Macaca mulatta: one gene and its partner. The protein of the gene in region 1 purifies or fractionates together with the protein of each later gene. This does not show direct contact. Links are inferred from orthologs where the notes say so. Each region holds a gene or a part of one and is shown on either strand. Other genes may lie near its edges.

Region 1 (7,081 bases):
TCGCTAAAGTCAAGAAGCTGCCTTTAAGGTGTGGCTTTTGGTGTAAACTTCTGATTTTCAGGGTAAAATGATGAAGTTGCCATATAAGGACAAATACTCTGAAAGTACATATATTAAATACATATTGAAATGCATTTAAAAGAGCTATTTCTACATAGTTCAACCTATACTGAGAAATGATAAATATGCTGGTCTATTCTGGTCTTAGAACATCATTAATGACTTTTTTTTTTTTTTTTTTTTTGAGATGGAGTCTTGCTCTGTCACCCAGGCTGGAGTGCAGTGGTGTGATCTCAGCTTACTGCAACCTCTGCCTCCCAGGTTCAAGTGATTCTCCTGCCTCAGCCTCCCCAGTAGCTGGGATTAATAACATAGATGCTTTAAAGGAAACTTAACCAATCACAAAATGATACGTTAACTGATTGAACTCCCTAGCAATGTGAAGAAAGTGTTACACCTACCTGTACTAGAAAGGGGGAGAAATAAGAGAGGTCTGATGGAAAGAAAACAACTGGTGCGATCAAGGGAAAGGCAGGGAAGGGAGAATGGAGCAGCAACTATCACATACCAAACCGTGCCAGGAGCTTTACCCACATTGTGCCTGTGAGTCACCCCACAACAGCCTTGTGAGGAAAGCACTATTACAACCTTCATTTTACTAACTGGGACACCCAAGGCTCTGCGAGCTGAAATAACTTGTTACAAGGCCTTTCCACTACTCAATGGAAGGCTGGGGATCACACAGGGTTGCAAAGCCATAGTCTCTGTACTGCTGCACTGACAAATCTGCTGAAGCGACCATGAAGTGCCACTTTTAGTTTCAGCACACAAACACAAATAATGGAAAATATTTGCTTTTGTTACACAGATACCATAGCAAACTGCCAGCTTCCATAAAATATAATCGTGGCCACGTGTGGTAGCTTGTGCCTGTGATCTGAGAACTTTGGGACACTGAGGCAGGAGGATGACTTGAGCTCAGGAATTCAACATCTACCTGGGCAACATAGTAAGAACCCATCTCTACAAAAATAAATTTTAATTAGCCAGGCGTGGGGGCTCATGCCTGTAGTCCGAGCTACTTTGAAGGATGAGCTGGGAGGATCACTTGAGCCTGGGAGGTCCCAGCTGCAGTGAGCCATGATCACGCCACTACTCCAGCCTGGGCAAGAGTGAGACGCTCTCTCAGAAACACTCAGGTATGAGAACCAGAACTTTCAAATATGGCGAGGCCAAGTTTCTCCCAGACCTATTTGGAAGCGATTCATCATGATGCTCTACCATAAGAGCAGCTACGGCAGGAAGCAGCAGCTGTGGGACCAGGTGAGGTGGGTGGGAGGCTTGGAGAAATTGGAAAAGTCCATTTCTAGACCCCAGGACAGAGAGCATAAGGCCAGAGGGTCTTCAATTCATCACTTGCCAGGTCCCATCCTGTGTGGTCACATTCTAAACTCCATTCCACCCTTGGTGATTTGTGGCAGGACAGGCAACTGCAGAGTACTAGTGGCCAGGAGACCTCTGCTCTCCCCTTTCTTGCTCCTTAGCAAGCTGTGTACCCTCATCAAGGACTTAACCTCTCTGGTCCCAAACCTCTCTTTCCCCCACGTCACAGAATAGGCTCATCGAAAGGCCCAGGACTAGCAGTCTGAAGAAATGATATCAACAAGGGCAGGGACACAGTCAATCTGGTACGCAGTGTCACGCTGTACTTGCTGAATAAGACTAAATTAGCTTCAGTACACTTATTTATAAAAAGTGGAAATGGTAACTACCTGCCAACCCCAACTGGTTCCTCTGTCAATCAAATGTAATGGGTGGGACAAGCTATACCAATGGATGACATCACTATCTCATAATGTAACAAAAATATCAGTGCCAGAGGGAGTATTATAAGGAAACTGACACTCAGCAACGTTTAATGAGTAACCTAGATTAGCAACTTCACATTCCCTGAGTGATTTCACATCCAGTGTGGCATCTAGTCCACATTTTCAGTGTAAATCCCACTATGAACGACTTAAAGCAAATCATTTCATCATTTGTTCTGAACCTCTGTTTCTTCATCTGTAAAAAGAGAATGTGGGCCGGGCGTAGTGGCTCAGGCCTGTAACCCCAGCACTATGGGAGGCCAAGGTGCGTGGATCCCCTGAGGTCAGGAATTCAAGAGAAGCCCGGCCAACATGGTGAAACTCCATCTCTACTAAAAATACAGAAATTAGCCGGGCGCAATGGGGCATGCCTGGATCCCAGCTACTGGGAAGGCTGAGGCAGAAGAATCGCTTCAACCAGGGAGGCAGAGTTTGCAGTGAGACGAGATGGTGCCACTGCACTCCAGCCTGGATGACGGGGCGAGACTCTTGTCTCAAAAAAAAAAAAGAGAATGTGCTCCATCTCTTCTGTTTGCCCCCTCCAAACACACCCTACCCTCTCCTCCCTGCCCTGTGTCCCCGAGTATAGACCCCATATACAGGTTTTCTGGCTCTTCAGCTTCCAGATGGGTCTGCCCAGCAGAAGGCACCAGCAGGGGAAGTTTGGTGGAAGGAAGAAAGGGAGGTCAAGGTATTTCTTCCCCCACCCCAATCCTTGACAGGAAACTGGGGCTGCATCCCTTGAACAAAGTTATCAGCAGGTCTCAGGTGCCCTCTCTACACAACTCAGATCATTCCCTTCACCCCTTCAGGCCCAAAGATGGACACCAGGTTCTGGAGTTACTAGCCATGGGATACTAAACCTTCACTCCTGATTTCCCTACCCACACCCTTACTTTCTCTCAGATCATCCTAATCTAAATGTGCCACCTATTTCCTGCTGAGATCCTGGATTATACAGTAGATATCACCACCTCGTAAGGTTACAAACGAAAGACCATGTTATGACTAGATGCTAGGCACTGGACTATAGATACTGTTACAACAATTATATTATGCAGACATTGTTGCTCCCAATCTGCAGATGAGGAAGCCGAGAGGATCAGAGAAATTAAGAAATTCTCACAAGGACATACAAGGGTGGAACAGCTAGAACTGAGGCCTTAACCTCCAGAACCAGCAAACCTTTCCATTTCTATTATCACCATCGCGGTCAATATTTTTCCTACCACAAGTTTCATCACCGCCGTCATTCCTACACAACAAAGTAACAGTCTCTTGTGAACGAGTGTATTTCTACTGTTGGACGTGTGGCTACGAGGGGGAGTTCTGGAATGGGATCAAAGTACGAGGCCTGACTTGCAGGAAGTATTATCTTGAGCAAGAGACTTTCCTCCACGAACCTCAGTTTCCTCCAATAAAATGGGGATAGATAACAGGGCTTCCTTCACAGGGTGGTGAGGAGGATTCAATGGGATAACATTTGCAAAGCACCGGGCACGCAGTAAGCACTCAAATGACAGGAGCTACGGTCATGAAAAAGGGGTTTGCAGCCTTGGCGGCTTTATGGCCGCCGAGGACTAGGGAGGCGGGCCAGGACACGGGGACCTGAGGACCTGAAAGACTGGAAGGTGCCCGCTGCCCACCCCCGGGCCCACCTGCTCCTCCAGTCTCTCAATCTCCAGCTGGTTCTTCTCCTCCTCTTCGTCATATTCCCACTCGTACTCCCCGGGGGAGCTCTCCGCGGAGGAAGCCATGGCGTACTCATCCCCATCGCTCTCGCTCACGCCTTCCTCCTGCTGATCCCACCCTGGCCCCACGGTCTTGTATGTCGCAGCGGCCACAGCCCGCGATAACACCTTCCTTCTTGTCCTCGCCGCCTTAACCTCATCCTCCTCTCCGTCAGCCTTGGGCCCAGCCTTGGACTCAGCCTCAGGTTCTGAAGCCGAGGTTGCGGCCGCAGTCGCCATCTTGCGCTTCTAATGACTCTCGGGTCTTCCCGCGGCCGCCAAAGACCCGCTGAGGCAGAAGCTGCCCGCGGCGCGCGCCTTATCAAAAGCCCGTTTTCTTGACACTGAAAGGGAAACTGGGAACCTTAGATAACGAGAAAATCTCCAAATACACTAAATTCATTTTATTTTATACCCCTGTAAAAACTCCCACCAGAGAAAAAACTCATTATCATGGCATACGTTCCGTCACAACTTCGGACAGAAGTTGGGTCTTTGGGCAGGAAGTGGAGGCCATAGAGGAAGTCATGGAGCGAGCGTGGTGTCTGTAGTAAAGAATTTGGCGCCATCTTGAGAAGGTCAAAGTGATTCTTAGAAAAAATACCTTACTTATCGCCTAGCGTGACCTGGCGCTTGGGTTTAGTCTCCCCAGCAACTGCACCTCAAACGCAAAGAAAACTGCAGGTCCTCGGGGAAGGATCGATTTCACCATTCAAGAGAAAAATCCATTTCCCAAAGAAATTCTTCCCCTTTATGTAAACATCTGGTACCTAGGAGGCGTTAAATACACTTGAGTTTTCCGGTTTTATAAGCTCACATACTGCAAACCAACAGTAAATACGCATTTCTTTAGAAATTCTTAATTGCTAGGCACCGACATATAAATTGAATTTGCTGTTGTTTTAGAGAGAAAAATAGACATATACTCATTTTTTTTCAATCAGGACATGGTGTTCGTTTCCTTCTTAAGCTTCCCATTGTTGAGGTAGGCAAGTACTGGAGTGTGTCTCTATCTCTACCTTGCTCCCTCATTAGCAAGCTTAATAGGCAGGAATTACGTCTGTTTTGCTTTCTGTTGGATCCCCGGGTCTAGTAGAGTGCCTTGACACATAGTAGGTACTCGACACAGATGCTGGCTTCATGATGAAGGAATTGTCCTCGAATTAATACAAAAGGGAAGATTCAGACTTAGCAAGCCGGTACCATTTGTCTAGGGACACACAGCCAGGAAGGAACCGAACCAGGATTCTAACCCAGGACTACCCAAGTTCGAATTCTAATTGAACCTAAGCCCTAAGCGACCTTGGACGGAGTGACCAAACTGCCCTGAATCTCAGCTTCCTTAGCTGCAAAATAGGGTTAGGAAAAGTGGACTCAGTGGTCCTCTGCGCCGCATTCCCACACTGCAGAAGCCTGAGATCCTCTCTCAACCAGAATCCAGCACCCAGGACAAGCCCTCTAGCGACTTCAGACCTTCCCGCTCCCGACCCCGCCCGCCCCCGAGAGGCGTGGTCAAGGCGGGGCCACAGGGCGGAGGCTTGCACGGAACGGTAAGGCGCAGGCGCAAAGCCTCGGTGACGCCAGAGAGGCGCGCTCCCAGCTCGGCGCCGACTCGCAGACGCGCCCCGCCCCTCGGCATCGCTCTGGACTGGCGCAGGCGCAAGCCGGCAAGATGGCGGCAGCTGGAGCTGGCCGTCTGAGGCGGGCAGCGTCGGCTCTGCTGCTCCGGAGCCCCCGCCTGCCCGCCCGGGAGCTATCGGCCCCGGCCCGACTCTATCACAAGAAGGTAGGGACAAACGAGGGGACACGCGGAATGCCGACTCGGGGGAGGCCTGGGCTGGAGCGGCGGCCGCGGGGTTCTACGCAGCCAGGACTAGCTGTCGCCTCCCACGTCTTTCCCCTGACTCACTTTCCCTTGCTACGCAGTGAGGCTCACTGCAACTGATAAACAACAGTTACCGCTTATCGGGCTGCGACTTCCAGGGGGCCCCGCCGCTGGCCGCGACTTCGTGCGTCCCAACTTTAAATTCGCCAACAGCCCAGGAGGCAGGGTCCTGTTGGGACTTGTCTTTTACAGTCCATTGACAGACACACCCCCGGAGCGGGCTCCGGCTTCAGCCACGCTGCTGCCCTGGCCAGATGACCTTGCGCTAGTCACTGCGCCTCTCTGAACTTGTTTCCCCAGGTGTAAATGAGGACTCTCAGCTGTCTCTTACAAAGGATACTGTGCATGGAGTCCTGTCATGGTTCCTGGCACATAGGCCCCAGCACGAGGAGACCGTTTTTGTTACTGCTTTAGGAGTGCATAGGGGAGTCAGACTTGTAACCAACATGCGTAGTGTTTTTGTTTTGTTTTGGGGGTTTTTTTGGCGGGGAAGGAGGGATAGATGCATAGTTTGCAGCCCCTTGCTGTCTGGTGACGCAAAGTCCCCCAGACGTGAGACTGCCACTCTAGAAACAGAATAAATCAACGTGGCACAAAAAGTCCCTCCGTTAGATACTATCCTATAGGGGCCTTTACTTGGAGTCAAAATCCTTAGATGGGGAGGAAAAGGGGACTGGAAGATCGGGGTGCTTACTACTAACCAGTAACCACATTAAGGCCTTCTGTGTGCCAGTTCGAATAGATGTTGATTCTGATCTGGCCTCTGCCCTTTCTCCAAGGGCTTCTTCACTCCTCCCCCTCCCGGCGGTGTGTTTCGTTGAGGGTACACCCCGAGGAAACTTGGACTAGCAGCCTTTCAGCAGCCAGGGTGCGCTGCTGCACCAGGGTGATGACAGGCTCTGAAATACGGTAATGGCACTGTTTTTATTTTGAAAGACACATAAACGTACACATTCCATAGCATTGTTCTCTGTGTAACAGTCACCTTAAGGCTTCTAAAAGTTTTCCCTTCCTGGGCCATAGTTATTTTTAGAATTTTTAAATAGTAATCATCCTTTGAGGATAGTTTTTATTTGAAAATAACAAAACTGCTGTTTGAGCCCAAGTCTGGTGATGTAGGTGGGTAAAAGTCAAGTATTTTTGTAAAAACCCTATGGAATTAAGACATGATTTCACTGATATTTTTTTCTTCTAGGTGTCGCTAATCTGTGAAGTAGTTGTAGAGGAGACACAAAAGGAATTGGGGGTCACAAATGGTTCTCACTGACATGAGTGTAGACCTTTCTACTCAGGTGAAATTTGGTGATTGCCTGCCAGGTTCAAGATGCTGACTTCCAGGAGCTTGCCACCATACCAGAGACCAGCACCAATAGAGAGTGAACACGATTTATCTTAACCCTCTCATTTTAGGTTGTTGATCATTATGAAAATCCTAGAAACGTGGGGTCCCTTGACAAGACATCTAAAAATGTTGGAACTGGACTGGTGGGGGCTCCAGCATGTGGTGACGTAATGAAATTACAGGTATGGCTAGTCTTTAATAGTGATAACAATAATCCCTTTAAGTTTACAAAGCACTTGCACATACAGCATTTCAC
Region 2 (7,071 bases), on another chromosome or scaffold:
AGCACATAATTTTTGATCCTCAGATACCTTTAGCACAGATGGAACAGATTGTAAACTATAACTGCTTTTAATCAGTTACAGGCTGGTTTTGGTGTTTAGGACTCAGCTTGGGGTGGAGGGACAAATCCTGCTTGATGTCCTGATGTATAGGTAAGGTCCAGGAGGTTCAGCATCTGTGCACTCACAGAGTTCATTGTTTACATTCATTATATGGAGAAAATATTTCTTTTCTTTCTTTCTTTTTTTTTTTTTTTGGAGACAGAGTTTCACTCTTGTCGCCCAGGCTGGAGTGCAATGGCACGACCTTGGCTCACTGCAACCTTCGCCTCCCGGATTCAAGCAATTCTTCTGCCTCAGCCTCCTGAGTAGCTGGGATTACAGGCGCTCACCACTACACTCAGCTAATGTTTGTGTTTTTAGTAGAGATGGGGTTTCACCATGTTGACGAGGCTGTTCTGAACTCCTGACCTAGGTGATACACCCACCTCAGCCTCCTAAAGTGCTGGGATTATAGGCGTGAGCCACCATGCCTAGCCCCAGAAAATATTTCTATAACAAACTCTTGACAAATAAGTACTTCTATGCAAGATGACAAATATAAGTTTATGAAGTCTTAGTCCATGAAAAAATATTTTTACCGGCCGGGTGCAGTGGCTCACACCTGTTATCCCAGCACTTTGGGAGGCCGAGGTGGGTGGATCATGAGGTCAAGAGATCGAGACCATCCTGCCCAACATGGTGAAACCTCGTCACTACTAAAAATACAAAAATTAGCTGAGCATGGTGGTGCACGCCTGTAGTCCCAGCTACTCGGGAGGGTGAGGCAGAGGAATTGCTTGAACCTGGGTTGTGGAGGTTGCAGTGAGCTGAGATCGTGGCACCGCACTCCAGCCTGATGACAGAGCAAGACTGCATCTCAAAAAAATTTGTTTTCTTTTACCTGTGTCCTAATATACATTTATAAAAACCTGGGGGACATGAGTTAGAATGATATGTAACTGTGCATTTCTGTCTGTGTTTGAAACATTTGGCAGTGAAATGTTAGACTGGGTTATTTGCATCTGTAAGCCACAGTCTCTTTTTACTCAGTCCTTTACAGGACAGTCTTGGCAAAAGTGTGTAAGAAATATGGAGATTGAGGTTGGCTCCTTTGGAGAAATATATTTATTGGTAACCTTTGATAAAACCAAAATTTGTGCTCCAGCTCCTTATCTCTGGGACTCCTCAACATTTTTTTGTTTTTTATAATTTTCTTTTTTATAGACAGAGTCTTGCCCAGGCTGGAATGCAGTGGGGAGATCGTAGCTCACTGTAACTCTTGGGTTCAAATGATCCTCCTGCCTCAGCCTCCCAAAATGCTGGGATTTACAAGCCTCAACATTTTGTTGTTGTTGTTGTTTTGAGACAAGAGTTTCACTGTTGTTGCCCAGGCTGGAGTACAATGGCACGATCTCCACTCACTGCAACTTATACCTCCCGGGTTTACAGGCGCGTGCCACCACACCTGGCTAATTTTTGGGTTTTTAGTAGAGACAGGATTTCGCCATGTTGGCCAGGCTGGTCTAGAACTCCTGACCTCAGGTGATCCATTTGCCTTGGCCTCCCAAAGTGCGGGATTATAGGCGTCAGCCACTGCGCCCGGTCAATTTTTTTTTTTTTTTTTTTTTTTAAGACGGAGTCTCTCTCTGTCACCCAGGCTGGAGTGCGGTGGCCGGATCTCAGCTCACTGCAAGCTCCGCCTCCCGGGTTCACGCCATTCTCCTGCCTCAGCCTCCCGAGTAGCTGGGACTACAGGCACCCGCCACCTCGCCCGGCTAGTTTTTTGTATTTTTTAGTAGAGACGGGGTTTCACCGTGTTAGCCAGGATGGTCTCGATCTCCTGACCTCGTGATCCGCCCGTCTCGGCCTCCCAAAGTGCTGGGATTACAGGCGTGAGCCACCGCGCCCGGCCAATTTTTTTTTTTTTTTTGAGACGAGTCTCGCTCTGTCGCCCAGGCTGCAGTGCAGTGGCATGATCTTGGCTCCCTGCAACCTCCACCTCCCGGGTTCACGCAATTCTCCTTCCTCAGCCTCCCGAGTAGCTGGGATTACAGGCGCCCGCGACCACGCCTGGCTAATTTTTTTTGTATTTTTAGTGAAGACGGGACTTCACCATGTTGGCTAGCCTGGTCTCGAACTCCTGACCTCACACAATCCATCCACCTTGGCCTCTCAGAGTGCTGGGATTGAAGGCGTGAGCCACCGCCCTCGGCCTTTTTTTTTTTTATCAGCTGAATTTAAGATTAAAAACATTTTTTAATTTTATTTTTTGAATTTTATGTTTTTACTTTAACAAATATAGAAAAGTGCACACTTCATAATCTTCACAAACTCCCCACAATTCTCGATAGGATGTGTGTAGAGGGCACGAACACATCACGCTGTGGACGGCAGGGTTATGGAAAACAAAACCTTTTGAGCTCAGACGCCGAGTGCCTCCACCCGCCTAGCAGCCCAGGCTAGGGTCCGCGCCTGCGCAATGGGAGCCGGCCGGCCCTGGAAGAAGTCGGAACGAAGGAAACCCCGCCCCTTTCCCGGCTTCCTCCTCCCCTCGGTTTTACCCAGCTTGCGCTCCCCAGCCGCAAGTCGGCCGCGCTTTACCCTTCAGCGCTTGGAGGGTTCTGCGTCCCTTCCCGCTGCGCCTGCGCGGTCCCGCCTCGCCCCACGCGCGGGCTCGCGCTTCGGTTCTCCCAGACCTGGTCTCAGCATCCGGCTCTTTTCTCGCTCCGGCCCGCTGCCCGCTGCGCCAGCACCATGGTGGGTACCGTGACGTCAAAAGGGGTCGCCCTCGGGGATCTCGGACGGTTGGGGCAGGGGGGTCTGGCCTTTGTCCCCCTAGGCTGGAGTTAGGTCCGGAGTTTTTATCTTCATCGTTAGTCCTGTTCCTCAAGTTCGTTGAGGAGACACCTGAGAGCAAATGGGATTTTTTTTTTCCATGATGAGGAAAAAAACCCCAACCCTGAGAGAGATTCAGTGGGGACAGCGGGAGACGGAAAAGTTAGACCTTAGAGCACTTCTCTGCCAGGCAAGCTTCGGCAGGGTGCGGGTGGGATGTTTTCTGTAATTCATTGAAAGGAGTGGGCAGGTACCCGAGAAAGGTGGTCGATTGAGAGAGCACACTGGGGAGGCCGAGGTATGCAGGGCAGAGCCTCTCTGGGACTTTAAGTGATGGGCTCAATGCAGTGTGCAGAATAATTTGGGCTCCAGCCTTTCACCTCTCAACCAATTATTCTTTCCTGTGAAATTTTGAGAACTGTTAGGGATGCAATGGGGTTCACAATACCGGTATTTGGTAATACTGTCAAGGGACACTCCTCCCTACCATGTTCCTTCCCACATGATGGTTTTCCCCCTCTCTCCCAATAGCTCTTCTATTCTTTTTTCAAGTCCCTTGTGGGCAAGGATGTGGTCGTGGAACTCAAGAATGACCTGAGGTAGGTACCTGTTCCAACAAGTCTGTTGGGGGTGGGTGTGCCCAGGGCCCTGGAACCTCTTTAATTTGAGAAATATTTGAGGGCTGGGTGAGGTGGAATATGTACAGAAGAAATAAATGGCCGGGTGCGGTGGCTCACGCCTGTAATCTCAGCACTTTGGGAGGCTGAGGTGGGCGGATCACGAGGTCAGGAGATCAAGACCATCCTGGCTAACACGGTGAAACCCTGTCTCTACTAAAAATACAAAAAATTAGCCAGGCATGGTGGCAGGCCCCTGTAGTCCCAGCTACTTTGGAGGCTGAGGCAGGAGAATGGCGTGAACCTGGGAGGCAGAGCTTGCAGTGAGCCCAGATCACGCCACTGCACTCCAGCCTGGGTGACAGAGCGAGGCTCTGTCTCAAACAAACAAAAGAAATAAATGGGTGGGGTGCAGTGGCTCACGCCTGTAATCCGAGCACTTTGGGAGACTGAGGAGGGAGGATTGCTTGAGCCCAGGAGTTTGAGGCTGCAGTGAGCAGTGATTACTCCATTGCACTCTAGCCAGGGCAATAGAGCAAGACCCCATCTCTAAGACAAATTTTAAAATTTAACAATAAATAAATGCCTTGTGCCTTAAATTTACAGATAAGCTTGGGGATTGTATTGTGTATTGGAAAACAATACAAAGCAATATACAGTTTAAAGAGTAAATACTGGTCAGGTGTGGTGGCTCATGGGCTGGACGTGTGGCTCATGCCTGTAATCCCAGCACTTTGGGAGGCCGAGGTGGGTGAATCACGAGGTCAGGAGTTCAAGACCAGTCTGGCCAAGATGGTGAAACCCCGTCTCTACTAAAAATACAAAAATTAGCCAGGCATGGTGGCAGGTGCCTGTAATCCCAGCTACTTGGGAGGCTGAGGCAGGAAAATCGCTTGAACCTGGGTGGCAGAGGTTGCAGTGAGCTGAGATTACACCACTGCACTCCAGCCTGGGTGACAGAGTGAGACTCTGTCTCAAAAAAAATAAATAAAGAGTAAGTACTAGGCTGGCCATGGTGGCTCACACCTGTAATCTCAGCACTTTGGGAGGCTGAGGCAGGAGGATCACTTGAGTCCAGGATGTCGAGACTAGCCTGGGCAACATAGAACCATTTCTATAAAAGATTAGCCAGATGTGGTTTACATGCCTGTAGTCCCAGCTATTCGGGAGACTGAGGTGGGAGGATCACTTGAACCCAGGAGGTCGAGGCTGCAGTGAGCCATGATTGTACCACTTTACTCCAGCCTGGGTGACAGAGGAAGACTGTCTCAAAAAAGAACAGGCCAGGCCAGGCGCAGTGGCTCACGCCTGTAATCCCAGCACTTTCGGAGGCCGAGGTGGGCGGATCACGAGGTCAGGAGATTGAGACCATCCTGCCTAACATGGTGAAACCCCATCTCTACTAAAAATACAAAAAATTAGCCTGGTGTGGTGGCGGGCGCCTGTAGTTCCAGCTACTTGGGAGGCTGAGGCAGGAGAATGGCATGAACCCAGGAGGTGGAGCTTGCAGTGAGCCAAGATGGCACCACTGCACTCCAGCCTGGGCGACCAGAGCGAGACTCCATCTCAAAAAAATAAACAAAAAAACAGAACAGGCCATAGGCTGGGCATGGTGGCTCATGCCTGTAATCCCAGCACTTTGGGAGGCTGAGGTGGGTGGATCACAAGGTCAAGAGATTGAGACCAGCCTGGCCAACATGGTGAAACCTACGTATTAGATATGCTACTGTGTATCTAATACCTAGTATAGGCCAGTTGTATGATAGGTGCTTAAGGAAAGAAAAATAATATCTGAAGACCTATTGACTAAGCACTATTCTGAATACATTTATTGATTGATTTCTCAAACACTCCTTAGTAATATGTACTATTGCTGTTATACATATGAGGAAACTGAGGCTTAGATCAGCTATACCACTTGTTCAAGTCTACAAAACTAGTAAGTGATACAGAACAGAAATATGATTATGTCCAGCTTTTTTCTTTTTCTTTTTCTTTTTTCTTTTTTTTTTTTGAGATAGTCTCGCTCTGTCGCCCAGGCTGGAATGCAGTGGTGTGATCTCTGCTCACTGTAAGCTCTGCCTCCCGGGTTCATGCCATTCTCCTGCCTCAGCCTCCCCAGCAGCTGGAACTATAGGCGCCTGCCACCACACCTGGCTAATTTTTGTATTTTTAGTAGAGACGGGGTTTCACCGTGTTAGCCAGGATGGTCTTGATCTCCTGACCTTGTGATCCGCCTGCCTCGGCCTCCCAAAGTGCTGGGATTACAGGCGTGAGCCACTGCGCCTGGCTTTTTTTTTTTTTTTTTTTGAGATGGAGTCTCTGTCACCTACGCTGGAGTGCAGTGGCGCGATCTCGGCTCACTGCAGCCTCCGCTTCCTGGGCTGAAGCAATTCTCTGCCTCAGCCTCCCGAGTAGCTGTGATTACAGGCGTCCACCACTATGCCTAGCTAATTCTTGTATTTTTAGTGGAGAAGGGGTTTCACCATCTAGGCTAGGCTGGTCTTGAACTCTTGACCTTGTGATCCACCCGCCTTGGCCTCCCAAAGTGATGGGATTACAGGTGTGAGCCACTGCACCTAGTCCTATTTTCTTTCTTAAAATAATATTTATTTATTTAAAAATTAGAGACAGTGTCTCGCTTTGTTACTCAGGCTGGTTTCAAACTCTTGAGTTCAAGCAATCCTCTTGCTTCAGCTTTCCGAAGTGCTGGGGTTACAGGCATGAGCCAGCATGCCTGGCCCTGTACTTATCTGTACAGTCCTTTAAATGATATGTACATTTAGGCCAGATGCAGTGGCCCACACCTGTAATCCCAGCACTTTGGGAAGTCAAGGCGGGCAGATGCCTGAGGTCAGGAGTTTGAGACCAGCTTGTCCAATATGGTGAAACCCCCATCTCTACTAAAAATACAAAAATCAGCCAGGCGTGGTGTTGTGTGCCTGTAATCCCAGCTGTTCGGGAGGCTGATGCAGGAGAATTGCTTGAACCCAGAAGGCGGACGTTGTAGTGAGCTGAGATCAGGCCACTGCACTCCAGCCTGGGCGACAGACTGAGACTCCATCTCAAAAAAAAAAAAAAAAAGTACATTTAAAATATTGATACCTATTATCTCGTTATCCTTTAGAAAGATGGGGTCAATTGTATTCTCTTCCCAAAAGTGTCTTCCACATTTATTTTTTTGAGATGGGGGTCTCACTGTGTTGTCCAGGCTGGAGTGTAATGGCACAGTCATAGCTCATTCAGCCTCCTGAATAGGTGGGGCTACATGCCACCACGCCCAGCTAATTTTTTAATTATTTGGAGAGGCAGAGTCTCACTGTGTTGCCCAGGCTGGTCTCAAACTCTTGGGCTCAAGCAGTCCTGCCACCTTGGCCTCCCAAAGTGCTGGAATTACAGGCATGTGCCATGTGCCTGGTTGTCTTCCACATTTCTATGTGATTTAATTTCTTCGTGGGTTACACGTTGACATGGCAGGGAATGGTGAGGAGAGGAACTTAAGGGCCGTTGCATTTTAGAACAGAGGTTTCCGTTTGTGGCACTGGCCATGCAGGTGGTATCGATGTGTATAGATTGGGGA

Evidence for each region. Proteins that work in one complex are often made in the same cells at the same time.
Region 2: the proteins of SART3 (region 1) and LSM2 purify together in Homo sapiens (affinity purification with mass spectrometry; 3 studies listed by BioGRID and IntAct, counting the BioPlex papers as one, with this or other methods). This does not show direct contact. The link is inferred for Macaca mulatta from reciprocal best matches to the Homo sapiens genes SART3 and LSM2.

What each region holds. Positions count from the first base shown.
Region 1 is NC_133416.1:115,685,818-115,692,898, forward strand, and holds the start of SART3 (spliceosome associated factor 3, U4/U6 recycling protein), read right to left. Parts: upstream 3,850-7,081; 5' UTR 3,839-3,849; coding exon 3,527-3,838; exon of another isoform or gene 2,220-3,526; intron 426-2,219; exon of another isoform or gene 303-425; intron 1-302. Other genes in the region: iron-sulfur cluster assembly enzyme ISCU, read left to right, coding at 5,271-5,384, 6,894-7,007. UniProt on the Homo sapiens protein: U6 snRNP-binding protein that functions as a recycling factor of the splicing machinery. Promotes the initial reassembly of U4 and U6 snRNPs following their ejection from the spliceosome during its maturation.
Region 2 is NC_133409.1:150,508,082-150,515,152, forward strand, and holds the start of LSM2 (U6 snRNA-associated Sm-like protein LSm2), read left to right. Parts: upstream 1-2,583; 5' UTR 2,584-2,793; coding exon 2,794-2,796; intron 2,797-3,405; coding exon 3,406-3,473; intron 3,474-7,071. UniProt on the Homo sapiens protein: Plays a role in pre-mRNA splicing as component of the U4/U6-U5 tri-snRNP complex that is involved in spliceosome assembly, and as component of the precatalytic spliceosome (spliceosome B complex).